Linked DNA regions of Macaca fascicularis. The protein of the gene in region 3 interacts with the protein of the main gene of each other region in a pairwise test. Links are inferred from orthologs where the notes say so. Each region holds a gene or a part of one and is shown on either strand. Other genes may lie near its edges.

What was found.
Region 1: the proteins of CCDC102B (region 3) and MAGOHB interact in binary tests that used the Homo sapiens proteins (3 or more experiments, as listed by UniProt). The two-hybrid records come from large-scale screens. The link is inferred for Macaca fascicularis from reciprocal best matches to the Homo sapiens genes CCDC102B and MAGOHB.
Region 2: the proteins of CCDC102B (region 3) and BYSL interact in binary tests that used the Homo sapiens proteins (3 or more experiments, as listed by UniProt). The two-hybrid records come from large-scale screens. The link is inferred for Macaca fascicularis from reciprocal best matches to the Homo sapiens genes CCDC102B and BYSL.

Annotation. Positions count from the first base shown.
Region 1 is NC_088385.1:10,341,184-10,351,224, forward strand, and holds MAGOHB (protein mago nashi homolog 2), read left to right. Parts: upstream 1-560; 5' UTR 561-622; coding exon 623-716; intron 717-3,668; coding exon 3,669-3,727; intron 3,728-4,417; coding exon 4,418-4,528; intron 4,529-6,415; coding exon 6,416-6,498; intron 6,499-7,952; coding exon 7,953-8,052; 3' UTR 8,053-8,315; downstream 8,316-10,041. UniProt on the Homo sapiens protein: Required for pre-mRNA splicing as component of the spliceosome. Plays a redundant role with MAGOH in the exon junction complex and in the nonsense-mediated decay (NMD) pathway.
Region 2 is NC_088378.1:129,639,746-129,650,659, reverse strand, and holds the start of BYSL (bystin), read left to right. Parts: upstream 1-1,771; 5' UTR 1,772-1,835; coding exon 1,836-2,103; intron 2,104-8,019; coding exon 8,020-8,182; intron 8,183-10,914. Other genes in the region: MED20 (mediator of RNA polymerase II transcription subunit 20), read right to left, coding at 1,280-1,293. UniProt on the Homo sapiens protein: Required for processing of 20S pre-rRNA precursor and biogenesis of 40S ribosomal subunits. May be required for trophinin-dependent regulation of cell adhesion during implantation of human embryos.
Region 3 is NC_088392.1:11,815,750-11,826,663, reverse strand, and holds part of CCDC102B (coiled-coil domain-containing protein 102B), read left to right. Parts: intron 1-893; 5' UTR 894-902; coding exon 903-1,505; intron 1,506-3,930; coding exon 3,931-4,151; intron 4,152-10,914. UniProt on the Homo sapiens protein: During interphase, forms fibers at the proximal ends of centrioles to maintain centrosome cohesion. During mitosis, dissociates from the centrosome following phosphorylation to allow centrosome separation. Contributes to CROCC/rootletin filament formation.

The DNA.
Region 1 (10,041 bases), on a different chromosome or scaffold from region 3:
ACATTGCCAAGCTCACAGAATTCTTGAGAGATCAAATGAGATCTCTTAAGTTCTTTGCTGTGATGGATTCCTTTGACTTTGTCTCTATTATTATAGGCTTATAGGTCCGGGGCAACTACCAATCGTTATTCAAAGGGGAAAGCACCCTGTTCGAAATCAAGTAAGAAAAATGGTTTATATTCCCGGTCTGCCATCTCTATTCTAAGCTTTATCTTTATTTAGCTCCCAGTTAAAGGGGGAATAGAGCCACACCCACCTCACAAACGCCCCGAGGACTGGGAGACCAGAAAAGTAAAAGCCACTTGCAAACCTAATTTAGCTCTAAGTCGATAAAAAATACTATCATATGCTCACATTTCTAATATTTGCTAATATAATGTGATCTTTATTTTGAAAATAATGTGCCTCCAATCCTAGTAAAGAGAAAGTCACGGCATGCGACTCTCCCTTCAGCACCAACTGGCCTCTCACGCGAGACTCGGCTTTCACGCTTTAGTCCAGGGCTGCAAGGCAGGCGGAAGAGAAGCGCCTGTGGTGACGCACTTATTCCGCGCGATGACGTGACTACAAGGCGCCGGGGGACACGTTGGCTGGGTTTTCGGCGGGCTTCCCGGGGACAAAAATGGCTATGGCTAGCGATTTCTACCTGCGCTACTACGTAGGGCACAAGGGCAAGTTTGGGCACGAGTTTCTGGAGTTCGAATTTCGGCCGGACGGTGAGAAGAGGCCCACGGCACGCGGTGCTGGGAAAGGGGAGCGAGACCGAGAGGCCGTGGAGGAGGCGAGGGGAGGCCGGGTGGTGTGGAGGGTACAGGGGGCGGAGGCCACTGCTTCCCTCGAAGGAAATAGGAGCTTAAGAATAGAGGAGGCCTAAGTTGGTTTTATAAATGAAAGAGAACTAATTGCAATAAATTAAAGCTAATCCTGTCGCAAACTGAAAAGTCGAACTTACAGTAATCAGAATTCTGTAACTGCACCAGAAGGGACTCTGTAGATTGTTGACCTGGATTAAAAATGCTAGCACTTTTTTGAAAACACCCCCATCAGCGGGTGGTCCAATGGATGAATAAAATCTTGTGGTGACCAGTACCTTTTCTTCATTCAGGCTGTGTGTGTTCTTTGAAGGGGAGGAGCCCGACGTGTTAACAAATGAGAATAATAATATGTTTTAGGTGTCTACGTATAATTGTTCACCACAGGACGCATGAAGAGTACCAAAAAAGAGGGGAGATGTAAAGTTCCACAGGAGGGAGTCAGGAAAATCTTCCTAGAGGAAGACACTCTTGAGATGAGTCTCGAAATGAGAGACTTGGCCTTTGAGAGAAAAAAACAGACTTCCAGAGCAGTGAGAGCAGAGGACGAGGTGAAACTGCTACCCCAGTAGCGTGCAACAATTTGTTTTCTGACAGCGCTATTAGAGAATGTTACATTGGTCCTGCCTACCTGCAACAAGAAAGTTCATTTGGATATATATGTTTTGGTTTTTTTTAAATGCACGTTTTTTGCTGGGCAACAAGCAAATACAAAATTTGAAGGTACACTAATGAGTAAGACAAATTTAACTCAAAGAGATTTGTCTTGGTGGGGACACAGACATTTAACTATAAAGCAGTAGGTATATTAATAAGCAGGCTTTGGACAATGTTCTGTGAGAGCAAGAATAAAAAATTAGAGGAGAAACGTATATTAGGAAAGGAGAAGAGTATCAAGCATTTCAGGCAGAACTCAGGTGAACTACAGTCCTGCAATTATTACTTTGAAACAGAGTCTCACTCTGTCACTCAGATCTGAGTGCAGTGGCACGATCTCAGCTCACTGCAACCTCCGCCTCCCAAGCTCAAGTGATCCCTCACCTCAGCCTCCCGAGGTGCTGGAAATACAGGCCAGTGCCACCTCGCCCATCTCCTTTGTTGTTGTTGTTGTTGTTGTTGTAGAGATGGGTTTCCGCATGTTGCCCAGGCTGTCCTCAAACCCCTAAGGTCAAGAGATTCACCAGCCTCAGCCGCCCGAAGTCCTGGGATTACACGCATGAGCCACCGTGCCAGCCCTGCAATTATTTAGAAACCTTAATCACTGTATTCGACCTTACTCTCCCCATAAATTCAGCTAAATTTACCTGAATTCATCTATTCTTTATGTAGTATTATTTTCAGTTCCTCTGCCTGTGAACACCGTCAAGCTTGTCTCTATTACTTTTAGCAGGTCACATAAATTAAGCACCTGAATATTATCAGGGAAGTTTTATGCTAGAACAGTGGTTCTAATCAATGTATCTGCCACTGCACTGTTACACATACTTCTTCTATTGGTAATATTGAGTCTCCCGAAGACCTGCCTGCCTGCCTGCCTGCCTGCCTGCCTGCCTGCCTGCCTTCCTTCCTTCCTTCCTTCCTTCCTTCCTTCCTTCCTTCCTTCCTTCCTTCCTTCCTTCCTTCCTTCCTTCCTTCCTTCCTTCCTTCCTTCCTTCCTTCCTTCCTCTCTCTCTCTCTCTCTCTCTTTCTTTCTTTCTTTCTTTCTTTCTTTCTTTCTTTCTTTCTTTCTTTCTTTCTTTCTTTCTTTCTTTCTTTCTTTCTTTCTTTCTTTCTTTCTTTTTCTTTTTCTTTTCTTTTTTTCTTTCTTTCTTTTTTTTGAGACAGAGTGTTGCTCTGTCACCCAGGCTGCAGTGCATCTCAGCTCACTGCAACCTCTGCCTCCTGGATTGAAGCGGTTCTCCTGCCTCAGCCTCCCGAGTAGCTGGGATTGGAGGCATGTGCCACCATGCCCGGCTACTTTTTCATATTTTTAGTAGAGATGGGGTTTCTCCATGTTGGCCAGACTGGTCTCGAACTGCTAACCTCAGGTAGTCCACCTGTCTCGGCCTCCCGAAGTGCTGGGATTACAGGCGTGAGCCACTACGCCTGGCGCCAAGCCATCAAAGACTGGCATTTCTATCATTTTAGAGTAACTGCTGCACCTTATAGCTGTGTCTGGGCAACTGACTAGCCATAAGGGGAAGCATACATCAGATAATACACAAATCATGATGGATTAAAATTAAATATAAACTAGCTAACAAACTCATCAACTTCGATCCAGAAGCATCGTTTGTATCCTTCTTAGTCATAATTCTAAAATGTCTACAGTATAATTGTATGCATACATTTGAAGGAAAAAAAGGAACATTTTTTTGTAGTGGAGAAAGCCTGAGTATTAAAAGAAAGTAGATCTAGGTCTGAATCTCCCATGTTTAAGTTACTTAACTTTGTTTTCTCTCTTATGAATAGGTGAGAGAATAAAACCTGATTTTTAGGATTGTTTTACAGATTAGATTAAATTCTCTGTGTAACGCACTTAACACCAATACATACATATAACAAACTTGAATGTTAGTGCCTTTTGCAGATTCTCTTTCTAGTTCATGATGTAGCTTAAGAAAATAGGCTGTAAAAATGACCCTATATCTATATGTTGTAGGCATAGACTATTTAAATATTTGGCTATCTTCAACTTCAGCAAACTTAACCAGCAAATATTTATTGTCTACATGTCTAACAATGATTTTACACAAGGAGGGAGGAAATAATAAAAGTAGTATAAAATGGTCTTTACCTTTAAAATTGTATATGATGTCATTAATTTTTTTTAGCAGTTTTTGCTATTGTAAATTGATTTTTTTCCATTTCCCACAGGAAAGCTTAGATATGCCAACAACAGCAATTACAAAAATGATGTCATGATCAGAAAAGAGGTAAGTTCTATTCGAATGTCTTTTTTTTTTTTTTTTGCATTTAGCCCATTTTCTTCAAGTCTATGTTGAATTTACAAAAGTACATCTAAGGCTATATTGTAAAGAAGAAGGCAATTTACAGATTGAAAGAGTTGCCATTTAAATTAGATACAATGGTTGCATCCATAGGAATGAGAAGGTTCAGAGAACTAACCTTGTTGTGAACTACACTTGCATTTATTTATTTATTTTTATTTTTATTTTTATTTTTATTTTTTGAGACAGAGTCTCGCTCTGTTGCCCAAGCTGCAGTGCAGTGGCGTGATCTCAGCTCACTGCATCCTCTGCCTCCCAGGCTCAAGCGATTCTCCTGCTTCAGTGTACTTGCATTTATTACTGTTCACCTTATAGATCTTGTGATCTAACCACTTGGGGGTATTTGGATCTTAATGTTACAAAGGCAGAATACAGTGTTTCAAAGATGGGTAATGATGAGAAGAGGGAAAAATAAATGTGAGAGGAAAGGGCAAGAGATGAAGAAAAGTAATATAACAAGGATAAATTATTCTCTCTCATTCTCTACTTTTGGAATCAATTAAATTTTTCTATATTCCTCTATTTGAATATTCAGAGTTTGTAACTCTTATTTCTTTCTGAGTTGAGGGGTGACATAGGTGGACATTATCCAATTTTATTATGATTAATTTTTAGGCTTATGTGCACAAGAGTGTAATGGAAGAACTGAAGAGAATTATTGATGACAGTGAAATTACAAAAGAAGATGATGCTTTGTGGCCTCCCCCTGATAGGGTTGGCCGACAGGTTTGTATTTAGTGATTCTTTAAGTGCATAAATATTAAAAATTGATAATACTATTATGATTCCCCTTATTTATTTTGAATGAGTCTAAGTTGATTCTTTGGCTTTCCATTTAATAGACACCTGGTAAATTCTCTTTAATTTTGTCTTTTAGTTCCGTTTTTCTGTGCTACCTCCTAGTAGTGAAGGAGTCAGTGCATAGCTCTAAATTTAGATATCTTTCTCTGTAGTCACCCTAGCCAACATTAGGATGCTTTCACAGTGCAGTGTTATGAATAATTTCTGTTGTGTGTTAATCACTTTTATTAAGAATATGACTATGTAAAATTTACTTTTGCCAAATCATAACTTTTAAAATTCTTATTTGCATCCCTATACCCCAGAGAGAGACTTGATTGGTGGTTTCTTTGTTAAAACTTATGATTGCATTTGCCTCTCATATTCCTTCAGAATACTTGATGTTTCTCAAAAGGCTTCTGAAGAACTCTGAAGGCCTAATTTCACTCTGTAAAAAGAAATTTTGGTTTCTGAATTGGGTCTTTTCAGCTCTTGGAGAAATGAGATACAACCCCTGGAAGGAAGAAACATTTAATTTCACTTTTGTGTATCCCTGAGGATTGTACTTTATATCACCTTCTTTGAGTAGAAGAAAATGTGGAGAGATCTAACACATGCTGACACTCTGTAGGAGTAACTTAACTCTTCTGTTTAAAGAAACATTGTTTAGAAGAGCAAAGGTAATAGTTAACAGTATTTACTTTAATCATGGTATCACTTTTAAAAAGCAAATTTAGGCCTCAGTTTGTTTTATGCAGATATACAGATGTACTAAAAAGCAAACCACAGCAGCTAACCTTTTATATCATTTAGACTCAGGGAGAGCCTAGTATTTTATCTACTTGCTTAAGGATGTGTTCATGGGTTTTGGTTAGTGGGGAGGAGTAGGCATGCTTCAGAAATTGCCTTTTGTATCAGGTCAAAGGTTTTATGGCTGTTAGAGCATCTTAGCTAATTCTCCATTTGGTGTGTGTCATAAACTGCATAATTAGGCCTCCGGTTAAATAGCTAGGATTGTCTTCAACAGTGTCTGTTAACTTGAAAATTCATTACAGATACAGCTTCTTAATTATTGGTTTTAGGCCTGCAGAGAAACAATATAGGGAAAAATCTATACAGTAATGACAGCACACTAGGAACATCTACAGTATGGTTTTTTTTTTTTTTAAACTAGTTCTTAATTTTAGTTATTTTGTGGAGTATTAGTTTTGAAGTCTTACAGTCTTGGGATCAAATATAAGTACCATCCTCATTAGTGGTTATAAATATCAACAAGTGTTTTCCTCTGCTTTGTGAGTTTTGAATTACACATTTGTAAAATAGGTTAATAAGGGTATTTTCAAGATTACAGAGTATAAAGTCCCTAGCACTAGAGCCTGACATACAGTAGGTGCTAAACTGGTGGTGGTGGTTATTAATATTATACATTTTATTTGTAGAATCTTCCAGAAAGAAAAAATATGTATTTGTCATATTAAAAATGGTCTTATACTCCTATCATTTTTCTAACATGTGCTTCAAAGTGACGTCTTCAGTTTTTACTGACATTGTAAGAAATATTTCTTTGTCATTTTGTTTCATAGTGTCTTCTTTATGTCTCTGGAAAGCAATTCTTTGTTGGTCCTAAACTTGGGGGTAGTACTCGTGAGCAGTTTTTATTTTAAGGATATAGTTTATATCTAATACACCAAGTTTCTTTCCCCTCACCACCCCACGCCCCGTTGACTGCTAGAAAACTTGCAACTAAAATTGGGATCCGTTTGTAGCAAGAATACAGATATCTCTGGGATAGATTTATATATTAACTACATTTTTCTGCTATTTTTTTTTTAGGAGCTTGAAATTGTAATTGGAGATGAGCACATATCATTTACCACATCAAAAATAGGTTCTCTTATTGACGTAAATCAGTCAAAGTAAGTATGTTAAAGCATTTTGGCCAAGTTGTCATTATTAGAGAGGCTCATTTTAGAACTATAGTATAGTCAGTTTGTTAGCCAAGATAATTTCAGTGGCCTCCTATCAGTTTATTATGCAGATGTAATTGATTTGTATGTCATTAAAGGCTTACTATCTTGTCTCTTAGTAGAAGTTAGCAGAGTATTTCATCGATTGTCCAAAAAATTTTAATCCAACAGCTGTATATAATAATGCCCAAATTGTATTAGCTATTTTGTATAAAAATGTGGATATAGTATCAGAAAATCCGAAGAAAAGAAGTCCTTATTGGATTATATCAGCCTCATTAGGTCCATGTCATCTCACTTTCCTCCTTGGGCTCAATACTTGGGAAAAAGATGGAAAAAATCCAGTCTAGCCTAAGTATCCTTTACTACCAATGTCTTCCCAAGATCGATCTCTCCTCCGCCCCAGGGTTTTGTAGTACATCCCATTTTCTTGGTGTGATCCAAGCCACTTATTTGTGCCCATTCCCCTCAAAGTGTCCCATAGTGCTCTTCCCTTTTTCTGTCACTCTAAATTGTAATAACCTATTTGTCTGCTTTAAGTAAGCTCCATGAGAACCTTGCTGTATCCACAAAGTTAGCATAGTGCCCTGCACATAATAGATGCTTTCAATATTTATTAGAGGAAAGGAGAAAGGAATGAATGCATAATGACTATTGGACACAAAAGTCTGTGTTCACAGAGACCAACTGGATGCTTGTAAACTATGAAATTTCTTTTCCTACATTTGGTGAGGATGTGGCATTGATACCCTACTGGGATTATAAATTGGTAGTGGTTTTTGGAAAGCAGTTTGGTAATATGCATCAAAAACCGTTGACATTTTTCATTCACCTTTGGCCTAGTAATTTCATTTCTGAGCATCTCTTCTATGGAACTACTCCTAAATATTGGAAAATCTTTATTATGCATGAAGATGCTCATTGAAGTATTATTAATAATAGGAAATTAACCCCGTTGTCTAACAGGGAGAGAATTATTAAATTAATTAAAAATTACTGGGGAATTTTTTTTTTTAATGCTGTGGGGAAAGCAATGTAAAAAGGGGCACAGGGAATGATTTTAGTTATTATAAAATAGAGAAACATCAAAATGTTCACAGTTATTCTATGAAATGGTGGCATTACGGTATTATTTTTTCTGCTTTATTAGACATTTTTATGATGCGGTTATGACATTCATAAGGAGATGAATCTTTAAATACTAAAATGAATACTGATGAAGAAACTTTTTTTTTTATAGAAAAGATATTCATTTTATGCTGTAGTTGTTGGCAAAATCCTTCCCTTCTCCTAAATATTGTTAACTTAATTGTTAAAAGATTTTAATTTTGTTTTGTTTTAGGAATTTAAAGAATTGTTTTATCCTAGGAAGAAAAAGTAACTTTTACCTTTTTAAATTTTAGGGATCCTGAAGGTCTTCGAGTATTTTACTATTTGGTACAAGACTTGAAATGTTTAGTTTTCAGTCTTATTGGATTACACTTCAAGATTAAACCAATTTAAATTGTATGTTTTCAAGCTGTTTGTATATTTAATTAAGGGATGGGAGGGGTTATTTGTCATTTACAATATTGGGGTTTTTATGAATGTGAAGCGAACAAAAAAAAATTTGTATGTAAACTGAAAATAAGAAAATACATTAGCCAGCTTAATGGTTATCTTTACTTGAGTCCACATGGGTTGGACATTCCCCACACATATTAAATTCTGTAAATAAAAGCCACCTTTTGTTAAAAATTTGCTCTAATAAAACATACCAAATCCTGGTTGCAGAGTAGTTTTTTGTTTTCTCTAGGAGGCTATGTCTTTAATTCACTTGAGAGATAATAAGAAATTGTTCTGGTAGGTATATCCTGTGACAGAAGATACTTTAGGTGGAAATATGTAGCCATATTCCCATCCATGAAAGGCAATTGTAGATCTTCCCTTATTTCCTTCATACATGATTGGTTTTAATTTTGGGGGGCTTACAGAAGGTCTGTTTTGTTTTGTTTTGGTTTGGTTTTACAGTTATCACAAACCCCTCAGGAATTATTCACATTTAAATATTTTCAATTATAAGCAGTGATGTCCTAAAGTGTTACAAAAGTAAAGTCTACCCCATGTTAGGCATATCTTCGATTATGTCCTTGTTCCTTATTTCACAATGTATTTGGTGTGTAGGGGAGGAGAGGAACTAAATGAGTTTTCAGCTTTATAAATTGTTAAACATTTAGATAAACGTACATGTGCGTATGAATGGACAGAAATATTTTAACTCCTATTGACCACGGGTCTCACTTAAGTTTCCCAGTTCCTTTCAACCTCTTTCTAATAGATTTCCTCTTTCGTTACTTTTAGTAACCATGTCCTTTGTTTCCTTTTATTCTTCCATCTGAACCTCCACTCTTTAAAAGTTATACTGTTTCAGTAGTTATAATCCACTTGCCCTAGGAACAAGTTAGCACTGACTTTTGGGTGGAATAATTAGTTTCTGAAGGCTTGCCAGGACTCCTGAGCAGCTAGGCTCTAGAGTTGGGCTGTCTAATAACTTTTTTGCAATAATGGAAATGTTCTATGTGCAGTCCAGTAGGGTAGCCACTGGCCAAACGAGGCTACTGATTACTTGAGGTGTGCCTCGTATAACTGAACTTACCGTGTTATTTAAACAATTTTTTTTTCTAACGTGAAAAGGATAAAACAAAACTCTTGACAATTGTAAAGTGAACACCTATATGCCAACCTAGATTCTATACTTAACATCTTTTTTACTGTAATATCTCTTATAATAAATCTTAGTTTTTCACTTAACTGGTGTAATTGGTGCCAGTAAGCTATTTTATTTTATTTTTTTTTGTAGTGCTACTTAATTTTGATTAAATTTAGATAGCCACATGTGTCTAGTGGCTACCCTTTGGACAGTATAACTCTAGAGCATGGCTTGGTAACCTGTTTGCCATGGAGCACTAGATGGTCCTTTTCACTCCTCAAAATGCATGCCCATTGTCTTCAGATTTGCCGTGGAAAGTCAAATGATTTCCACTTCATTATGCAAGTACACCATCATCTTCAGGTCTTTTGTAAGTGAAATATTTCTGTTCCAGTTGTAGACCATGATGACTGTGCAGTATGAAATCGTCTTATAATTTTCTTGCATTTAGATGTCAACCTCAAGAAGAAAGAGGAACAATCGCCTTTTGAACTTCCAGTGGGCCCACAGTGTTTGGTTGTTCCTCAAAATAACCTTCATTCTCTGGCTCCGTTGAATAAGCTGATCCATTCAAAACTGAACAAGGTTGAGGAGAAATCGTGCTTATATTAAAAAATCTTTAAGTCTTTGTCCCCATTCTCTAACTTCCTTATGTTTTGGCTATTTAGCTCTATCCCTACTATCTACTAGAATTTCTCATATTTAAACCAAGATGGGAGACTAGGTCGTTAGGAAAATATTATCATCTACAATTTTCTTATACTTTGATCTGTCTTTTATTTGATCGTAAGCTGCTGATGGAC
Region 2 (10,914 bases), on a different chromosome or scaffold from region 3:
ACGTCTGTAATCCCAGCACTTTGGGAGGCCGAAGCGGGCGGATCACCTGAGGTCTGGAGTTCGAGACCAGCCTGACCAACATGGAGAAACCCCGTCTCTACCAAAAATACAAAATTAGCCGGGCGTGGTGACGCATGCCTGTAATCCCAGCTACTCCGGAGTCTGAGGAAGGAGAATGGCTTGAACCCGCGAGGCGGAGGTTGCTGTGAGCCGAGATCGCGCCATTGCACTCCAGTCTGGGCAACAAGAGCGAAACTCCGTCTCAAAAAAAAAAAAAAGAAAGAAAGAAAAAGAAATAAAGAAAAATAAAGAAAATCTTTAAAAATACTGTTTCCTGATTGCTTATAACACACTCCCTCTAACCCTGTCTGCAGGTGGGTCACAGTCCAAAGACCCTATTTCCAACCCTGACGTCCCATTGCGGGCAGTACTATGGCCTCACGGGAAGGAAAATAAATCTAGAAGGGAATGAGGTACACAACCATTGATAGGTTCCTGGGATAAAAACTTTGCTTTGTCGGCCGGGCGCGGTGGCTCAAGCCTGTAATCCCAGCACTTTGGGAGGCCGAGACGGGCGGATCACGAGGTCAGGAGATCGAGACCATCCTGGCTAACACGGTGAAACCCCGTCTCTACTAAAAATACAAAAAACTTACCCGGGCGAGGTGGCAGGCGCCTGTAGTCCCAGCTACTCGGGAGGCTGAGGCAGGAGAATGGCGTGAACCCGGGAGGCGGAGCTTGCAGTGAGCTGAGATCCGGCCACTGCACTCCAGCCTGGGTGACAGAGCGAGACTCCGTCTCAAAAACAAACAAACAAACAAAAAAAAAAACAAAAAACTTTGCTTTGTCGACACCAGCCTGGCCAATATGGTGAAATCCCATTTCTACTAAAAATACAAAAAATAGCCGGGCGTGGTGGTGGGCGCCTGTAGTCCCAGCTACTCGGAAGGCTGAGGCAGGAGAATCGCTTGAACCCAAGAGGCGGAGGGTGCAGTGAGCCAAGATCGCACCACTGCACTCCAGCCTGGCGACAGAGCGAGACTCCGTCTTAAAGAAAAAAAAAAAAAAAAAAAAAAAACTTCGCTTTGCTTTCCCGCCTTCCAAGAGGAAGGGGCGCATCTCCGAGGAAACAAGGCCGGGGAACCCGCGGCTCGCACGGCATCCTCTCATCCACACAACCCGAGGACAGCTCCCAGGGGACGGCGGACCACGGTCAAGGTCCTCTTTTCGGCCCTTCACAACTCCAAGCTCCGCCCTACAAAACCCCCTGCAGTCCTACCAAGTCACTCCCATGGCGTCGGGCCAGGAAGGCGGCCGGATCACACGGTAGAAACGCAGGGTTCCCTATCCGCCCACAGAAACTGCTTCAGTTCCCCAACACAACCTTCGGTCTCGGAAGAGACTCCGGAAATACGTAAAAACAGAGCGCCGGGTCCACGCCTTCCCCAAGGAGTGGGGCGGGTCTCAGGGCCCCTCGGTGACACCTCTAGTGACATCATCTGCGGATTCCCGCCCACAGGTTTCTAAATCCAGACATTCTCGTTTGGCTGAGCACTCTAGGCCTAGACCCATGAAGCTAAGAGCGACACTCAAAGACTGCACTGTTGAGAGAAGCTAACGTTAAAGGCTGTAAATATATTGGGGAGTCCAGCACCGGAACCCGGGAGCTCTTTTAGTGGGAGGGGCGGCGCTGATGGCGCTTCTGGCCTCCGAATGCTAGGGGGCGCTGTGATCGCCGCGTGGCCTCTTGAGAGCCGGGAGTCCACCGCGCAAGCGCAATCTGGCTTTTTCGCCGTCTCCACGTGCGAACCTCCGCGGCAACGTTTTCGAGAAAAATGCCCAAATTGAAGGCGGCCCGTGGGGTCGGGGGTCAGGAAAAACATGCGCCCCTGGCCGATCAGATCCTGGCTGGGAATGCGGTGCGGGCAGGGGTCCGGGAGAAGCGGCGGGGTCGCAGGACCGGAGAAACGGAGGAAGAGTATGTGGGACCCCGGCTGAGCCGGCGGATTTTGCAGCAAGCACGGCAGCAACAGGAGGAGCTCGAGGCCGAGCATGGGACTGGGGACAAGCCCGCGGCGTCGCGGGAACGCACCACGCGGCTGGGTGAGTGTCTGGGATGAGATCCGAGGAAGACAGTGGCCAGTAGTGGGGCGGGGTGGACAGCTAAAAAGTGTCTGGCAGGGGAATTGCTTCGAGTCAACAAAGGGTCCGTATTACACTTGCAAAAGTAATGGAATGGGAGACTGAACCCTGTTCAGAGCCCTCCGCGTCCACTCCTAGTTTTAGGCACTCCCTTCTACACATCCCCTAAGTTAGGCCAACAGTAATCGCTCGCTCCACCCTAGCATTTATCCATTGGTTTTGTAAATATATATGGGATACCCACTACGAGCTTTGTACTATGCTCGGAGTTCTATCGAATGTTTGGGTACAGAAGTAAACAACATAGGCACGTCTGACTTAAGGACCTTACAGTCAAGCCCAGTAGAGAGTCAATTAAGTAGACTCTTAGAATAATATTTTTCTATGATAAAGTGTCGCTTCCCTGGTAACAATAGCATTGGTCTTGAGAAGCTTCTCCGATTGCAGCAGGACCTTTTAAGTTGAGAACTGAAAAACGAATGGGAAGTGTTATGAGCAGAAAACACATTGTTTAGCAGCCAAAGAGGGAGAGAGATGAAAGACGTTTGATATTTTCTCGCTAGGGAGGGAGTGTTGACCTCTGAGATGCTTCATCCGTTTTCCAGATCTCATCTAAAGCAATATTTGACGCAATTGAATAGTGGCCTCCTGGCCACAGTATCCTTACTTGGGTTTTAAGACATCAACACTCCTGTTTTACTGCCACCTCACTTCTCAGTATCCTTGACTGACTCTTATTGCAACCTCTTATCCTCAGTCCTCTGACCTCTTCAAATATTCTCTGGTGCTGGCAAGTTTCGTGGTTTAAATACCATCTCTTGGGTGACTACTCCTAACTTTATAGTCTAGCCCTGACCTCTTCCATGAAATCCATATTCTTATATTCAACTGCCTATTTGGCAACTCCAATTTAAAATCTGACAGCTCAAATTTAACATGTACAAAACAGAAATCTTGACCTCTCCAAACCTGCTTCTCTCACCATTGTCTTCCCCGTCAGTAGCGTATTCTTTCATTTGCTCAAGACAAACTTTAGACTCCTGTATTTCTCTCTCCCCCTCTCTCCCTCTCTCCCCCGCCCCATCTCCTCTCTGTCTCTCCCTCCCCACATCTGATCTGTAAGAAAATTCTGATGACTCTGCCTTCAAAGTATATTCAAAATCAGACCACTTTTCACCGCTTTGGAACACCATCCTGTTGAAGCCACCACAATCTCTCACCTGGATTATCACAGTAGCCTCCTCGTTAGTATCTCATATTCTCCTTTTTTTCTTTTTCTTTTTTTTTTTTTTTTTTTGAGATAGAGTCTCTCACTCTGTCACCCAGGCTAGAGTGCAGTGGCACAATCATAGCTCACTACAGCCTCAATCTCCTGGGCTCCAGCTATCTTTCCCACCTCAGCCTCCCACATAGCTGGGACCACAGGTGTGTGCCAGCATGTCCAACTAATTCTTTTTTTTGTTGTTGTTGTTCTTTTTTGAGACGGCCCAGGCTGTAGTGCAGTGGCACGATCTCAACTCACTGCAACCTCTGCCACCTAGGACCAAGCAGTTCTTCTGCCTCAGCCTCCTTAGTAGCGAAGATTACAGGCATGAGCCATCACATCCAGCTGATTTTTGTATTTTCAGTAGAGATGGGGTTTCACCATATTGGCCAGGCTGGTCTTGAACTCTTGACCTCAAGTGATCCGCCCACCTCAGCCTCCCAAAATGCTGGGGTTACAGATGTGAGCCACCTCACCCAGCCACTAATTCTTTAATTATTTGTAGAGATGAGGTCTCACAGTGGTGCCCAGGTTGGTTTCAAACTCCTGGGCTCAAGTGATCCTCTCTTCCTTGGCCTCCCAAAGTGCTGAGATTACAGGTGTGAGCTACTGCACCCTGCCATATCTCATACTCTCTACAAAGCACTCCACAGGTAGGGGATTACAATGGTCTACAATGCACTTTATGATCTGCCTCCTTTACCAGTCTGACTTCTACTGCTTTCCTCTGCGCATTCCACTCCACCTATACAGGCTTCATTGTGCCTTAAACATGGGAAATTAGAGCGTTTGGCCTGGTTGTTCCTTCTCTCTGGGATAGTTTGTTCTCATACACTTGTAGGGTTACTTTCTCAGAGAGGCCTATCTACTCCATTTACGATTGCAGCACTCTACTCCATCTCCATACTCCCAATATTTCTGCCCTATCTTTTTTCATAGTACTTTTTTTTATTTTTTTTTTTTGAGACAGAGTCTCGCTCCATTGCCTAGGCTGGAGTGCAATGCTGTGATCTCGACTCACTGCAACCTCCACCTCCTGGGTTCAAGTGATTCTCCTGCCTCAGCCTCGTAAGTAGGTGGGATTACAGGCGCCTGCCACCACGCCCAGCTAATATTTTTTTTTTGTATTTTTAGTAGAGATGGGGGTTTTGCCATGTTGGCCAACCTGGCCTCGAACTCCTGACCTCAGGTGATCCACCCGCCCCGGCCTCCCAAAGTACTGGGATTACAGGCATGAGCCACCACACCTGGCCCATAGTACTTATATTTTAACCCAGTATATTTGTATGTTTATTTATGTCTGTCTTTTCCAATTAGACAGGATCTGGTGCGTTCAGAGTGGTATGGTCATAGACTGTCTCATCCAATTAGAATGTAAGCTGTATAGAACAAAGTCTTTTGATTTCTCTTGTTCATGGATATATTGCCAGCACCCCCAACAGTGCCTCACATATAGTGTAGGTGCTCAGTGTTTGCTGAATGACTGGGTTAATGGGTAATGAATGATGGTCAGGTAGGTAGGAGCAAACTTGCAAAAGATTTAAAAACCATCCTTACAGCAATAGGAAGAATGGAAAGCTACTGGAGAATTTTAAGTATAGGGCTAATCAAATCAAATATGTGTTTCTGGAAAATTACCGTCTGCAGAGTGGAAAATGAGTTGGAGGGAAGCAAGGTCAGAAACATGGAGATGAGTGGGTGACTGTTGAATAAATCCAGGCAAGAAATGATGCTGATCTAGGCTTAGATGGGGCTGTGAAGCATGTGGGAGACAGTCTATGAGGTAAAATTGAATAGGATTTAGTAATTGATTGGGTGTTGAGGGTGAGGGCAAGGGATGAGGCAGGAGCGCCTCCCAGGCTTAGCACTGGGTGGACAGTGGTACCATTTACTGAGCTGTGGATGGTTAGCATTATAGACCTAGGAGGGAAAGAAAATTAATATAGTTGATGACAGGTGAGATTTGAGGTGACTGTGAGTCATCCAAGAGCGGCTGTACAAGAGACACCTGGAGTTAGGGTCTGGCGCTAAGGAGAACCACCTACAAAGTACACATTTGGGAGATTGTTGGCATGTGGAGACAAAATGTCTGTTCCCCCTTAGCGTTTATCACATACTGCCACTGCCTTTGTTGTTAATGACCTATTGATACATAGCATTATAGTTCCCCACTTGGATTATTAGCCCCCCTTTCCAGATGCCCAGACATGTAGCCTTCCAAAAATGGAAGTTATTTAAATGGACTACTTCATTTATTTTATTTATTTATTTATTTATTTATTTATTTATTTATTTGAGACGGAGTCTCGCTCTGTCGCCCAGGCTGGAGTGCAGTGGCGCAGTCTTGGCTCACTGCAAGCTCCGCCTCCCGGATTCACGCCGTTCTCCTGCCTTAGCCTCCCGAGTAGCTGGGACTACAGGCGCCTGCCACCATGCCCGGCTAATTTTTTATATTTTCAGTAGAGACTGGGTTTCACTGTGTTAGCCAGGATGGTCTCGATCTCCTGACCTCATGATCCACTCGACTCAGCCTCCCAAAGTGCTGGGATTACAGGCGTGAGCCACCACACCCGGCCCTTTTTTTTTTTTTTTTTGAGATGGAGTCTTGCTCTTTGGCCAGGCTGGAGTGCAGTGGCGCGATCTTGGCTCACTGCAACCTCCAACTCCCTGGTTCAAGCGATTCTCCTGCCTCAGCCTCCCTCCCAAGTAGCTGGGATTACAGGCGCACGCCACCACGCCCAGCTAATTTTTTGTATTTTTAGTAGAGACAGGGCTTCTCCTTGTTGGTCAGGCTGGTCTCGAACTCCCGATCTCAGATGATCCACCCACTTCGGTCTTCCAAAGTGCTGGGATTACAGGCATGAACCACCATGCCCAGCCAACTTCATTTATTTAAATAGACTGGTGGATTGAAATCTGAACTCCACTGCCTGACTTTAAAGGCCCTCCAGTCTGGCTTCACCTTTCCCACCTACCTAGCATTATTTATTGCTATTGCCTAGGAGACACTTAAATCTGAAGCCTTATTTTCTCCGCGTCTGGAACACACTCCGCCTGCTCCCAAACTGCCCATCCAGCGTCTAACTGTCCTCGCCACTCATCCTCTAAGTGCATATGTCGTCTCTACCACTCATTGTGGCATATAATCAAACCCTAATATGTGTAGAATAGTGGTGAAGAATGCAGTCTAGACCCAGACTACCTGTCTTGGGCAAATTATCAACTTTTTGGTGCTTCAGTGTCCTCATCTGAAACTGGGTATAATAATAGTATCCGCGGCCGGGCGCGGTGGCTCAAGCCTGTAATCCCAGCACTTTGGGAGGCCGAGACGGGCGGATCACGAGGTCAGGAGATCGAGACCATCCTGGCTAACACGGTGAAACCCCGTCTCTACTAAAAAAAAATACAAAAAACTAGCCGGGTGAGGTGGCGGGCGCCTGTAGTCCCAGCTACTCGGGAGGCTGAGGCAGGAGAATGGCGTAAACCCGGGAGGTGGAGCTTGCAGTGAGCTGAGATCCGGCCACTGCACTCCAGCCTGGGCGACAGAGCAGACTCCGTCTCAAAAAAAAAAATAATAATAATAATAGTATCCGCTTCTTGGGTTTATTTTTATTTATTTATTTATTTATTTATTTTTTAAGTTTTTGCCAATGTTCCGTAAGAAGGTTTATTTATTTTTTTTTAATTTTATGTTTTTTTTTTTTGCCAGCATCTCACTGTCGCCAGGCTGGAGTGCAGTGGCGTGACCTTGGCTCACTGCAACCTCCACCTCTTGGGTTCAAGCAGTTCTCCTGCCTCAACCTCCCAAGTAGCTGGGACTACAGGCACGCACCACCACACCCAGCTAATTTTTGTATTTTTAGTACAGACAGGGTTTCACCATGTTGACCAGGATGGTCTCAATCTCTTGACCTCATGATCCGCCCACCTCAGCCTCCCAAAGTGCTGGGATTACAGACGTGAGCCACCACGCCCGGCCACTTCTTGGGTTTGTAAGGATTAAACAGTTAACATGGGTACAGTGTTTAGAAGTTCCTTCTACAGGCACGGCGCGGTGGCTCACGCCTGTAATCCCAGCACTTTGGGAGGCCGAGGTGAGCGGGTCACTAGGGGTCAGGAGATCAAGACCAGCCTGGCCAATGTGGCGAAACCCCGACTCTACTAAAAATACAAAAAATTAACTGGGTGTGGTGGTGGGTGCCTGTAGTCTCAGCTACTTGGGAGGCTCAGGCAGGAGAATGGCATGAACCCAGGAGGCGGAGCTTGCAGTGAGCCGAGATTGCGCCACTGCACTCCAGCCTGGGCGACAGAGTGAGACTCTATCTCAAAAAAAAAAAAAAGAAGTTCCTTCTACATAACTGAGTATGGTATGTTAACTATTACTTATGGCCATTTCTTTCTCATTGTTTCCTGTGTATACGTTTTGTTTCTCAAGCGTGATTGCAAGCCCCTGGGGACCGGGAGCTAATGCATGCCTCATTTGTTTCACTGCACATACCTGTGTCTATCACAACCACATGTGAGGCCTGTACTACATAATGACTAAAGTTAAACTGACTAAATCCCTCAGCTACCTTTTGCTGTGCTCATCCATTTAGTCTCCTCTCTTCTAGGTCCAAGAATGCCTCAGGATGGATCAGATGACGAGGATGAGGAGTGGCCCACCCTGGAGAAGGCTGCCACAATGACAGGGGTGGGCCACCATGCAGAGGTGGTCGTGGACCCTGAGGATGAGCGTGCCATAGAGATGTTCATGAACAAGAACCCTCCTGCCAGGTAGGTCTGGGGATTTGGGATAATGGGTGCTTGTAGAAAGTTCCCACAGGAAAACAAGTTCCCTGGCAGACTTACGATTCCCTACTTTAGGAAAGGGCCCTGGAGTTGCTAGTTGTAGGGGACCACCTTGACAAAACTGGCCCATCCTCAGCAGACCACTGTGAGTGGGAATGACCCAGCCTCAGAAAACATTGTATCCTTCTGTCCATTTATTGTACAACTGCCCAGTTGCCAGGGAAACAGCTCCAGGCCCGTTTTACACCTCTGGGGAGAGCCATCCTATTGCATCTGGTTTTGGTATTCTTGGTTTTTTTAGTGGTAAGCTCAACTTCCTTGGACAAGTGTTCATATCCTAAGCTTCATTTAAGCCAGGGTTTTTCAACCTCAGCATTATTGACATTTTGGGCTGGGTAATTTTATATGTGTGTGGAGGCTATCCTGTGCAGTGTAGGATGTTTAGTAGATATCTCTGATCTCTACCTTCTAGGCTCCAGTAGCAACCTTCCCTCTAATTATGAAAACCAAAAATGACATCAGACGTTGCTAAATGTCCTCTGGGAGGCAAAACTGCTCCCAGTTAGGACCACTAATTTATTCCCATCTATAATAAATGCTGGCTCCAAAACATGCAGGCATTTAGACTGCCTGTGGTCAAACTCCTGAGCCCATAAATTTTGGCCGTGGGGAGTGGAGTCTAGGATAAGGGTCCTCAACCAGTTCATTCTGACCCTGTGATACTAACATAATGGTGTCCCTGATACTTTAGATTGTTTGGGGTTAATGCATCTCTCATTGCTAATTGTACTGTAAAAGCACAAGGAGGCTGATAAATTCTGTGGCAACTTATTTGAAAATGCAGAATGAAGAAATAAAAATGAGCTCCTCTCCCAGATTGATGCCTAACAGTTGAAATATGTGTCACAAAATACGTACTCGGGCCTGTCCCACCAGAGAGCCTCTCAGGTTCTCATTCAGCACCTCATAACTCCTACTTCACTGATAACGCTGACAAATTTAGCAGAATGCTTTTCCAGCTTGCAGTAAATAGAATAGACAAGCTCCTTGAAGTAATCAGAACTTCTGGCAGTTGTAAGAAATGATAGCTGGCGTCTTCAGAAAGCAAGCCTAGATCCACATGAATTCAACAGAGGCCATTTAGTTTGGGGGCACATTATAAGGTACTATAAAGCATCTTAACTTAAGACTTTCAAAAACCTGAGTTTGACTCTTAACCCCACCTGACGGCTGTGAGGCCCAGTTGCCATGTCTGCGTAAGTTTCCATGTCCTATAAGTGTTGCACTGACTCTGGGACTGAAAAGTCCCAGACTCAGTGCCTGGCGTTGAGTAGGACCTCAGAAAAGAGGAGCAGTTTGTTTTTTGTTTTGTTTTGTGACAGGGTCTCACTCTGTAACCCACACTGGAGGGCAGTGGTGTGATCTCAGCTCACTGCAACCTCAACCTCTCGAGTAGCTGGGATTACAGGCGCACACCACCACGCCTGGCTACTTTTTGTTTTATTAGTAGAGACGGGGTTTCACCATGTTGGCCAGGCTGGTCTCAAACTCCTGACCTCACGTGATTCACCTCCCTCAGCCTCACAAAGTACAGAGATTACAAACACGAGCCACTGCACCCAACTGAGGAGCTTTAAATACATGTCAGTCTGGGCATGGTGGCCCAGACCTGTAATCTCAGCACTTTGGGATCCCAAGGCAGGAGCCCAGGAGTGTGAGACCAGCCTGGGCAACATGGGGAGACCCCATCTCTACAAAAGAATAAAATACGGCCGGGCGCGGTGGCTCAAGCCTGTAATCCCAGCACTTTGGGAGGCCGAGACGGGCGGATCACGAGGTCAGGAGTTCGAGACCATCCTGGCTAACCCGGTGAAACCCCGTCTCTACTAAAAAATACAAAAAAAAAAAACTAGCCGGGCGAGGTGGCGGGCGCCTGTAGTCCCGGCTACTCTGGAGGCTGAGGCAGGAGAATGGCATAAAAACCCGGGAGGCAGAGCTTGCAGTGAGCTGAGATCCGGCCACTGCACTCCAGCCTGGGCGACACAGCGAGACTCCGTCTCAAAAAAAAAAAAAAAAAAGAATAAAATACTAGCTGGGCCTTGTGCTATGTGCCTGTGGTCCCAGCTACTTGAGAGACTGAGGCAGGAAGATCGCTTGAGCCAGAGAGATAGAGGCTGCAGTGAGCCGTGATGGTACCACTGCATGCCAACCTGGGCAACAGAGCTAGACTCTGTCTCAAAAATAAATAAATAAATACACTTCAGCAGCCTCTGAAGGCACTGGTATTATATGACAGCTCAAGGTGATAGTAATGCTGAATCATTAAGATAATGTTTGATATACCCAACAATACTGTGTTTAAGGAGGCTGAAAAGAACATAATCAGTTTTAGAAATACTTCCATAGATACACTGCTGTGTACTGACCGTTGCAAGTAATGAACAGACATTAACTTATTTAATCCTTCCATTAATCTTTTAAGGTAGGTACCGTTATTATCCCTATTTTACAAATGAGGAAACAGAGGCATAGAGAGGTAAAGTAACATGCCCAAGATCATACAGGGAGTGGGTAAGCCAGGATTTGAACCTGCGCAGACCGATTTCAGAATTGAGATTCATAATAACCTCCATACAACTGCCAGCTTTGTCCTAAATGGAATGACTTTCAGTTCCTTTGCACCCTGCAGTGATTCTGTCTGTGGTGGATGAATGGGC
Region 3 (10,914 bases):
TTTTTCTGGATGGGAAATCTCAGCACACTTCATCTCACATCCCAGCAGCCAGAGTCAGGCCATATGGCTGCCTTGAGACTAGTCAATAGTCAACAGATGAAGGGCATCATGGAAAATGTAGGCTATGATTTAACCTCTGGCATTGAAATAGAGGCTTATTTGCCTATACATCAATAGGTTGTGCATTCTGCCTGAACAAATTGAGGCTTAGCAGGGATAAAGAAAACCATTAAGTAGTTAGTGGACAATAAATATTACAATTTGTATTTTGTAGTGGACAATGTTGCAATAGATATGACCTAAATAGGACTGGATTTGTCAAAATGAATTATTTATGTCATATGCTATCTTCAATTGCATCTTTATATTTTTATTTGTATTTTTTTGGCAAAATTGAATATGAGAATATTCTATTTCTTAGTGGACAGTTACAAGTGTTTAAATTCCTCTATATTTTTAGTTACATTGGAAAAATATGCAATATTGAAAAAGTGCAGCCGGGCGTGGTGGCTCACACCTGTAATCCTAGCACTTCAGGAGGCTGAGGTGGGTGGATCACGAGGTCAGGAGATCAAGAACATCCTGACCAACATGGTGAAACCCCATCTCTACTAAAATACAACAAAAATTAGCTGGGCCTGGTGGTGCGTGCCTGTAGTCCCAGCTACTCAGGAGGCTGAGGCAAGGGAATTGCTTGAACCCTGGAGGCAGAGGTTGTAGTGAGCCGAGATCATGCTACTGCATGATCAAGACTCTGTCTCCAAAAAAAAAAAAAAAAAAAAAAAAAGTGGCATTGTTTTCATCAAATTTCAAAAACAACAAAAATGTAGGTCTTATTCCTGTATTTACAAGGGAAATTTCAGCATGAAATTATGTCCTTTATCTTTTCTCAGGTCTCAAAGATGAATATGAATTTAGATTCCATTCATCGATTAATTGAAGAAACACAGATCTTCCAGATGCAGCAATCATCAATTAAGTCACGTGGTGACATGGTGACACCTGCCTCACCCCCCAGGGATACCTGCTTCCCACTTCATGGGCTACAATCTCATGCTGCTCACAATTTCTGTGCACACTCATGTAACACCAACAAATGGGATATTTGTGAAGAACTTCGCCTGCGGGAGCTTGAAGAAGTCAAGGCCAGAGCTGCTCAGATGGAAAAGACCATGCGGTGGTGGTCAGATTGCACTGCCAACTGGAGAGAAAAATGGAGTAAAGTTCGAGCTGAAAGGAACAGTGCCAGGGAGGAAGGAAGACAACTCAGAATAAAACTAGAGATGGCGATGAAAGAATTGAGTACACTGAAAAAGAAACCGAGTTTGCCACCTCAGAAGGAGGCATTAGAAGCTAAAGACACCCAGGATCTGAAGCTTCCTGGTTTCACAGAAGAAGCCTGTGAACATAGAGACCAATTTCAAGTGAGTTCACAAATGTGTGAGTCCATCAGAGAGTGTTTGGTAAAAAGACAATTTTCTACAAAGGAGGACACAAATAATAAGGTAAGAAAAAAATCCAGAGACTATGTGAATATCTGAAGGTCATAGATAGTGATGGGGAGGAAGAAGGAAGTGACAAATCCAGTGGTGACTATACTAGTCTGCCAGCGCTATCGTAAAAACGTACCATAATCACAGTGGTTTAAGCAACAGAAATTCATTTTCTTATAATTATAGAAGCTAGAAGTACAAGATCAAGGTGCTAGCAGGGTTGGTTTCTTCTGAGGCCTCTCTCCTTGGCTTATAGAAAGCCATTTTCTCCCTGTGTCTTCATATGGTCTTTTCTTTGTACACATGTCTGTGTCTTAAGTTCTTCTTGAAAGGTCACCTAATGAGCCTAATTTAACTAAATCACCTCCTTAAAGGCCCTGTCTCCACCAACAGTCACATTCTATGGTACTGGGGATTAGGACTTTAACAAATAAATTTTGAGGAAACACAAGTTCAGCCCATCCTAGTGGTTTTACTAATCTTTATAGAAAAAATTAACTCAGCATTTTTCATTTGAAAAGAAAATATTTGGAGACATTTCTTTCCATTTGCCTTAATTATGTCTAAATTGTAAACAATCCATACGTAGTTTGAATAGTTCTCAATGTTTGGGACTGAAGCCTCACGATTAACTACTCATAAAATGGGTACTGCAGGCAAATAGGGTACCTTAGGAAATGCTTTATATGGACCACTGATGGAATTTCTTGCTATACTTAGAATCTCAGTTTCTGAGAATTCTGTACAAAGCACATGGAACTTTAAAAAGTCTCTCAGTTTATACACTTATTCATCCATGAACCACCACCCTGTTTTTTCTTTTTCTTTTATTTTAACTTGGTAAATAATATTAACAACCCAAAGAACATACTTTGGGAACTCCTGTTACCTCTTATTATAGTTTCAGTTTATTTTGTTACCTCTTTCTACTTAATTCCTTCTCTAACACGCATTAGTTAATATCCTGCACCTCTACCATTGCATTTAGTATTTTAAGCCATTCTATAATGTATATAATTTATGGTAGGTAAAACCTAGATTTAACTATAAATAAAAAAATTAAGAAGATTGCAATACAATGATTACTTCTGCTTATTTGGTCTTCTACGTTTTCTTTTAAAAATGTTCAAAGCTGATAATCTGGGCTTTGTGTGTATCTTTTGGAAAATCACATATATTCTCAAAACTCAACTGTATTAATGTATGCGTTAGAAGAATGCAATGATGAGGATAAGGGAACATAGCTCACATCAAGTTCTCTAAATCCACAAAACGTTTTTATTATTACAAGTTACTAGCCTCTGCATTTGAGAAAATGAAGGATTCTCTTCACATGTATTATGATGGAAAATTCTCAATATTTTGGGATTTCTTCTGAAATATCTCCTTAACATTAATGTCAAGAACAAATCAAACATAATACTTATTTATTAAAAATGTATTTATTTGCAAAATATCCTTCCAGATATTCCTTCTGATGGTAGGAAAATAAATATTACCTGTTGAAGAAGCTTCAATCAGTTTTTTCCTTAAAATTTTGACCAGTATCTTTGCCAACTCTATACCCAACAAGAAAGATATGTATATGTATCCTCAAACAACACATCTTATTTTATTGTTTGTCAAAATATTATAGTATAGATGATTGCAATGATCATTCTTGAGAGAATTAAGGAATGATTCATACTGGGTAACCTGGCATTCACATACTACTTAAAAAATAAAATAAAAGTGAAGTATCATCGAGATTTTACTTGAACTTGACTATTCATTGAGATTTTATTTGAAATTGTCTTTCATTTTAAACTTATAAACCAGGGCAAATTTAAATTGTAGGCAAATACCAACTGCATGAGCCCTGTGAGGTTTTTGAGTTACGCTCTAAGAGTGTTGATGCAGTTGTTGCTCTAGTATTGATGCCCATGTTTATTAAAGTGCCCCATTAAATTCTATTTGAGATGTGGCTCATGAATTAAAAAAAGGGGAACTAAAATAAAGCGATAAGCAAGCTTTTTAAAATATTCAAGAGCTTCCTGAAAATTCTATCTTGTCTTTCAAAAATGTTAAAAAATAATTACTTTGAAACTGTAAGTGTCTTATGACAAAAGAAACTTGAAAGAGGAATTCATCAACTCATTAAAAATTATTTACAGCTGTTCAAGTTTGTGCATGATTATTTTTAGCGTGATTAGAAAAAGAGAACAAACAGAGTTAAAGCAGAACTTTTGAGAAATGTATTTTTTTTGTAAAGAGGTAGAACATAGAAAAAAATAAGTTTGAAGAAGAATGCAAGTAAGTGTGGCCACACAACGCTTTTAGGGAATGATAATGAAATTAAAATATCAATTTGTTGTTGTATCATAACATGTATTTCTTTATGAAAATGTATTATCATCATGATTTTTCTCCAAGAGGTTTAAATTTTTTTTTTTTTCAGGAAGAAGGTGTGGTTATTGATTCTCTAAAATTAAGTGAGGAAATGAAACCCAATCTAGATGGTGTTGACTTATTCAACAATGGTGGTTCTGGAAATGGTGAAATGAAAGCTGGGCTGAGACTGAAAGCAATAAATCTGCCTTTGGAAAATGAAGTAACTGAAATTTCAGCTTTGCAGGTGCATTTGGATGAATTCCAAAAAATCTTATGGAAGGAAAGAGAGTAAGTGCTAATTATTGTCTCCCTTAACCAAGTCTAACTTTCAAACCACTTAAAATTGTTAATACTGATAGATTGGTCATTTGATAATGTATTTTATCCATGTTTAGTCATTAAGTTTTAGGATTTAAAGAAATTAGTTTGACAGATATTCATATTTTGAATTTTAAAAAGTAGTATATAACTTGTTAGTGTTTTTCATTCTTTTAAGTTGACTTTTATCATGACTATGTTTTTATCATCTCTGGTAGATTCACTTTAATTGTATCTGAATTCTTAATGTACAAGGTTAAAATATCCAGTGTGTTATTTAATTGTTACAGCATCTTGGACTTGGTAAATAAAAAATGGATAAATATGTTAATACTAATAGCAGAAAAATCACAATTTTGTGAGATATTGATTACAGAAAAAGTTGTCTGATACATGGACCACTAAGGGCATCAGGCTTGTGATTAATTGGCCTGGATCTTCATGTATTTCAGATCTGATGTACATCAGATCTTTGTTCTGATGTATTCCAACTATGTGATGTCGGCTGTTGCCCCTTTGTGAAAATAGCTGTAGTGCTGTTATGTTCCAGTTATCTATTGTCTTGAAACAAACTTTTCCAAACAATTATCATTAAAACGTATCAACAGCAACCACCATGTCTTCTGTTCAAGAATCTTGAGCATGCCTTGGCGTGGACATCGAATCTCTCACTTGTGCCTTCAGTTGCAATGGCTCAAAGGCTGGCCATGCCTGGAAGGCTGGGGGCTGCAGCCTCTCTCACTCATACGTCTGGCCTCAGTTCTCATCTAGGCCTCAGTTGGGACACCTGCACTGGGGCTATTTAAAGGGGTGCTTGGCTTCCTCACAACACTGGGGCTAGGCTGCAAGTGAACATCTTAAGAACACAGAGAGAAGAACGCCATTTGAATGACTCTGCCTCAAAAGTCACGTAGCATCACTTCAGACCCATTATCGGTGGTGGGAATCTCAAAGGCTGACTCAGATCAAAGAGAGAGAAGCACTTTCAACGGAAGGAGTGTCAAAACAATTGTATAATAAGGGCGTGTGGGATGCAGTCATTGTGGCAACGGTCTTTGCAAAATACAGTCTGTCATAGCCTTTCTCAGTGAATTCTCATAAAGATCAAGAACAAATAACATCTGGGAAAGAGGATAGTAATATGAAATATTCAATATGGATTTTTGTTTCTTTGCAATCAGTTTACAATTTTATTAGCACAATGTGGAATATCTAATATATAAATGTGGTTCCAAAATCTAAAAATAATTACTTTTATCTCTTAGTTATAAAAGCCTTAATGGGCAGAACCAGAAAAGCGAGAAGGATATGTATGCATATATACACACAATGTATTACATAAGCATATGTTATATAACAGTTTTAATTTTCCTGGTTTGAATGGACTGAAATCAGGATAAATATGCATACTAGCCATTCACAGATACAGTAAGTTCTTTACCACTTATTTTCTGCCAGAAGTTTCTCATTAGTTCCTCTGAAATTTACTAGTGCCACCGATTCCCTTTTTCAGACTCTTCATCTGTATTTCACTAGATTAATAGATTGTGATCATGCAAGCATTTATGTACAGAATAAATACTTATTACCCTATCAAGTGTAAATTCCTAGTACAGGCAACCAACATCAGTAGAAAAAAGAATAAAATTGAATTTAATTTTTAGGCTGGTACATATACTGACAATTTTATCTAGACCTATACATTTCAGTCACATTCTAATTTCTGTGCTTTTACTTCTTGAAGGATTTAACTTTTGGTAATTATAGACTTCTCTCCAGCACTCGTACGATATTACTTCCCTGATGCAGTCTAATGGGAGAAGTGCAGAGCTGTGTTTTTCTAGATGTAAACTTTCCTATTCTAAAGTGTCAGTTTTAAAAACATGCATGTTCTGTCTTAACACGCTTATCCATGTACATATACACAACATGTACTTTTTACTTTCTTGGAATACATGAACAATTCTCAGAGTAAGTACATTCTCCAGTTCTCAGTGACTTCAGTCTATAATCCATAGACAGGTCAAAGAATAAGAGAAAAAAGGAGGCTTTCCATGGCCTTGTCTTCCTACTCTCCTCTTTTAAGAAACAATCCCACGGACTTGATGAGTCATGGTTCCTGTGTCCATGAATCAACATTTGCATGCAATCCGCATGAGGCAATCACAGTCTTTTTTGCTATCGCAAGAGAACATTTTCCAAGAATATAGGATATGCTATTACTTATAAATCCATCTAATCTTTTAAATTCTTCTTCCTGGAATATCAGTGAGTGGGTGGCTTGAATTGAGATGTGAATGTATTTTTTTCTGCATTCCCATCTAGTGGGAAAATTCTCTTCTTAACTAGTGCACAGAAATCAGCTCAGAAAACTCAGGGACTCATTTTTTCCATTGTCCTTGACTAGAACCTCTTCATCAAATAGAAGAAACTTTATTGTTTTATTTGCGCTCTGAGTACTGTTCAGTTTTATGAATAATTCTCCAGCATTAAAAGTTTCTCATATACTGAGAATTTATATATTTCTGATGACTTTCATAAAGACTTCCCAGGTAGAAAATTTAGAGGAAGGCCAGGAAAGCTGATCCTCTTAGAGAGCTATGTGTACCTAAAAATTTAGGAAGCTGAGGTTGGCAATACCGAATCTCAAGTAACAGAGACTGAGATAAAATATTTTGAACTGTTCTAACATTCAGAATCAGTTTTGAAATTTCACTGCAGAGACCTCCTTTATCACTTATAAAATGTTTGTTCTGTGTCCTTTAAGCTGAGCTTCAGTCCTCCTTTTCCATTTCATCTTTTTTTTTTTTTTCTTTTCTTTTTGAGACAGTCTCGCTCTGTTGCCCAGGCTAGAGTGCAGTGGTGCAATCTCGGTTCACTGCAACCTCAGCCTCCTGGGCTCAAGCCATCCTCCCACCTCAGCCTCCCAAGTAGCTGGAATTACAGCCTGTGCCACCACGCCTGGCTAATTTTTTTTTTTTTTTTTGTATTTTTAGTAGAGACAGGGTTTTGCCATATTGCCCAGGCTGGTCTGGAACCCCTGGCCTCAAGTGATCTACCCTCCTTGGCTTCCCAAAGCGCTGGGTTTACAGGTGTGAGCCACTGTGCCCAGCCCATTTTATCTTCTTAATTTATTTTATATATAAGAAAAGTAGTATGCTTCAATTATTTTGTTTTGCTTCATTAAATGTTCAACTTTTTTTCATAATGAGATTTAAAATCTAGGTGAGAAGTTTCAGCAAATTAAAAATGCTTCAAAGGTTATTATTTTTGGTCTGTGTATGAAACAGACAGATTTCTACTTTACATATATATATATAAAGCATATATATATATTCCTCAATTAATGAATACATTGACATGCAAATCTAGTTAATACTGTTTATTGTAAAATTTGTAAGTATTAGAAAGTCAAGCTTATTTTGTTTCTTTATTGTCACTCATGGAATATTCAATAAATCTTTACCATCTTTTGACTCTCCAGTGTCTATTTTGTGTTTCGGCAATTTGCTACCAAATGAAACAGAGTCTACACCTGTGCATAGATTATAAAAATACCAGTAAGTCTCTACCACGGTTTCCTTTGTAATGAGGGTACAGACACTTGACTTAGGAACAGTGTATCAGAGGTGGCCGCCTAGAGTTTTAAGCCAAGCCAGTACCCCAAGGCAGTAGACAGCATCTAGAATCCATGCCTGAGGGGGAAGCAGCAGCAGTAAAGAAACTCGTTTCCAGAGGCAGCGGTGGCCTCTGGTGCCTAGTGACACCACTCACTGTCCCATATTGGTGATCTTGAGGTCCCACTGTGATGTCTGTACCTTAATGGTGGCCGAAATAGTGTGCTTACAGGAAGATTTCGATGGCTTTCTCATCAGTGTTCCTGGCTGCATGTATTCCCCAGAAATTTTTTGAGCTACAATATCCTTTTCCACTCAAATTAGCTAATTTGAATATGTTTGCTTGCCAGACCATAATACCAGGACAGTGTACAGGCAACAGACAGAGGAGGTTACAGGCAGTGGGGTCTTCATGGGACCAGTTTTGTGGCATGAGAGTGGGTCTTCGTCCCTGTCTGCTTCATCTGCAAACCTTGTTCTATGATTCTCCTGGAGATCGGAGCTTAACAATATTCTTTAAATACTTATCTTTTCTAATTAAATTAATTGTATATGGCTTGGCTGTTTGCAACAGCCGAGTGCTAACACTCAGTGCTGAAAGATGTAATTATGAATAGTAGGAAGTGCAATTGCAAAATGACATATATGTTGTTTAAAGTATATTTGTAAAAACTTGTTAACAGTTTAATACTATCTCTAAATTTTGAACTGTTATAAAAATGAATATCTGCGTGTTATTACAAGATAATCATTTGATTTGGTAAGAACATTTTTATATTAATACACCCTTTCAGAAAATAATGATTCAATTTTTTCCAGTGAAACTTCCCACAGTTCAACAATGATTAATATTTATACCTAGATATTAATTTTTAGGACTTTTCATCCCTGAGAAATATTTGAGTAATATTATTGTCTAGAAATTTAAATTTTATTTCCAATTATTGTGGAATTGTGACAGTAAACAAAGCATCAAAAAATGCATGGAAATATAATCACAACTTTTCATAAAAATAATTTTGGTTCATATTTTATATTTAGATTCTACAAACTTTATATATTTTAGCAATATGATTTTTTTAAAGTTTATATCATCATATTAAAGATACTACATTTTTGCTAAGCTTTGCCTTTTTAATTTCATTCTCATGAAGAATGTGTACATAAAATATGCAACATTTTAAATATTAAGTGTTTGCCTTCTTGTAGCTCAAATGCTCTGACAATAATATACAGCTCAATTATAAATTTAACTATATTATTCATCAACTTTGAAAATCTCTCTGAAACACAGAATAAAATGATTAGGCTAGAAAATTAAGGACTTATAGAGTGCCCTCTGCTGCATAAATTTAGACACGCAATGTCCTTAATGCTGGCACAGAGACACAAAAGTTTATGATGGGGCTATCTAAATACTAAAACAATTTAAGTATCCCATTGTCATTAAATAATTTTTTATGAATTCCTTTTTTTCTCACTCCCCTAACCAAATTGTAACCTTTTTCATAATAAAAATGCATAATTTTCCTTTAGGAAACAAATACATATCAGATATTTTCTTTATGTTGTACACTTGAGGTAAATATTACTTTCTTCGAAAATTTTTGAATTTATTTTGAGTTTCTAAATTATCATTTGATTCATTAAAGTATAACATCAAAAGCAGACATTTGATTTCACAACATGTATGATTTTAACTCTAGGTAATTTTCAAGTATGTTTCCATTATTCTATTATAAATAAAATAATTCTCAAAATTAATTTTAAGGAGAAACATAAATATATGCTTCATTACACAAATACAGTTAATTAAAATCTTTTATAAAATTATTTTATTAATTTAACATATGCCATTTGCTTTTCAAGTTTTTCAGTTACCGACAAGACATTCCCACGTCCTACTCAAGAAAATCTAAAAAATTAAAATTATAAATATGGTGATTCTTATCTTAAACATTCCAATGAAGTTACAAACTTAGTACAATTTTATTATAATTTTCAATATAAATTCACAGGTCTAAGTCAATATTCAATATCTTTTAAATATTCTAATTTATCACCCAAAACTTAAAATGCACTCAAATGTTAGATATGCAATATAGTTCATCTTACAATGATTTGTACACATAATTTCTAAATCTAACACAAAATACTAATACTGATTTGTTTATTATTTCTATATTTAATTCTTTTCCTCTCGTCATCTCAAACACAACTACTGAAACACAAATTATATCATAATAAGCAACTTGGGTGTCCTCAGCTGGCTAGGTCTACTTTTCTATCTGAAATTGTGACTGCTGTGGTTAATCTGGATTATAAACATTCATATTCAGTGTTCGTAAGACCTAAACTTTCAAGTTGAATCTTTTTGTTTGTTAATTTTGTTTAATATATTTGCTATGTTAATAAGGGATTCCGGATCAGAGTACTGTAAGTGGTGCTTTGCACCATTTTTTTTTTTGCAACCTGTCTCTTTTGAGGTTAAGCTAAGCTCTAACTAATTCTTTTATATCCTCTTTCAATTTTATGGCTTGATTTATGTAAATATAATTATATAACTTTTTAATAGACTGCTTCTCCATTTGATTGGAGTAAACTAATGTATTTACAGTCTGACACTACTTTGAATTATCATAGTATTGTTACCAAGAAGAATCATATTTCTTATTAATATGTAAATGACATTCAATTTGGATTCTGCCTGCGTCTTCTAGCTCTGTGAATATGTTCCTAAGATCTTTCTAGTCACATTTAATATCACTGAAATAGAACTGTATATTAGTTAATTATGAATACAATAACTATGTGACTAACAATCACAAAATCTCAGTGTCATATAACAATCAAAGTGTATTTACCTGGTGCTCAAACATATAAGTTCTTTTCAAACTTTTTTTTCTGTCATCTCTGCTAATATCTCATTGTCAAATCCTAGAATTGAGGAATGAGGAAAACAACTCTGTCCGTGGAAATGGAGGAAAATCAATGAGTATTTATTTATTTATTTATTTATTTATTTATTTTGAGACAGAGTCTCGCTCTGTAGCCCAGGCGGGAGTGCAGGGGCCGGATCTCAGCTCACTGCAAGCTCCGCCTCCTGGGTTCCCGCC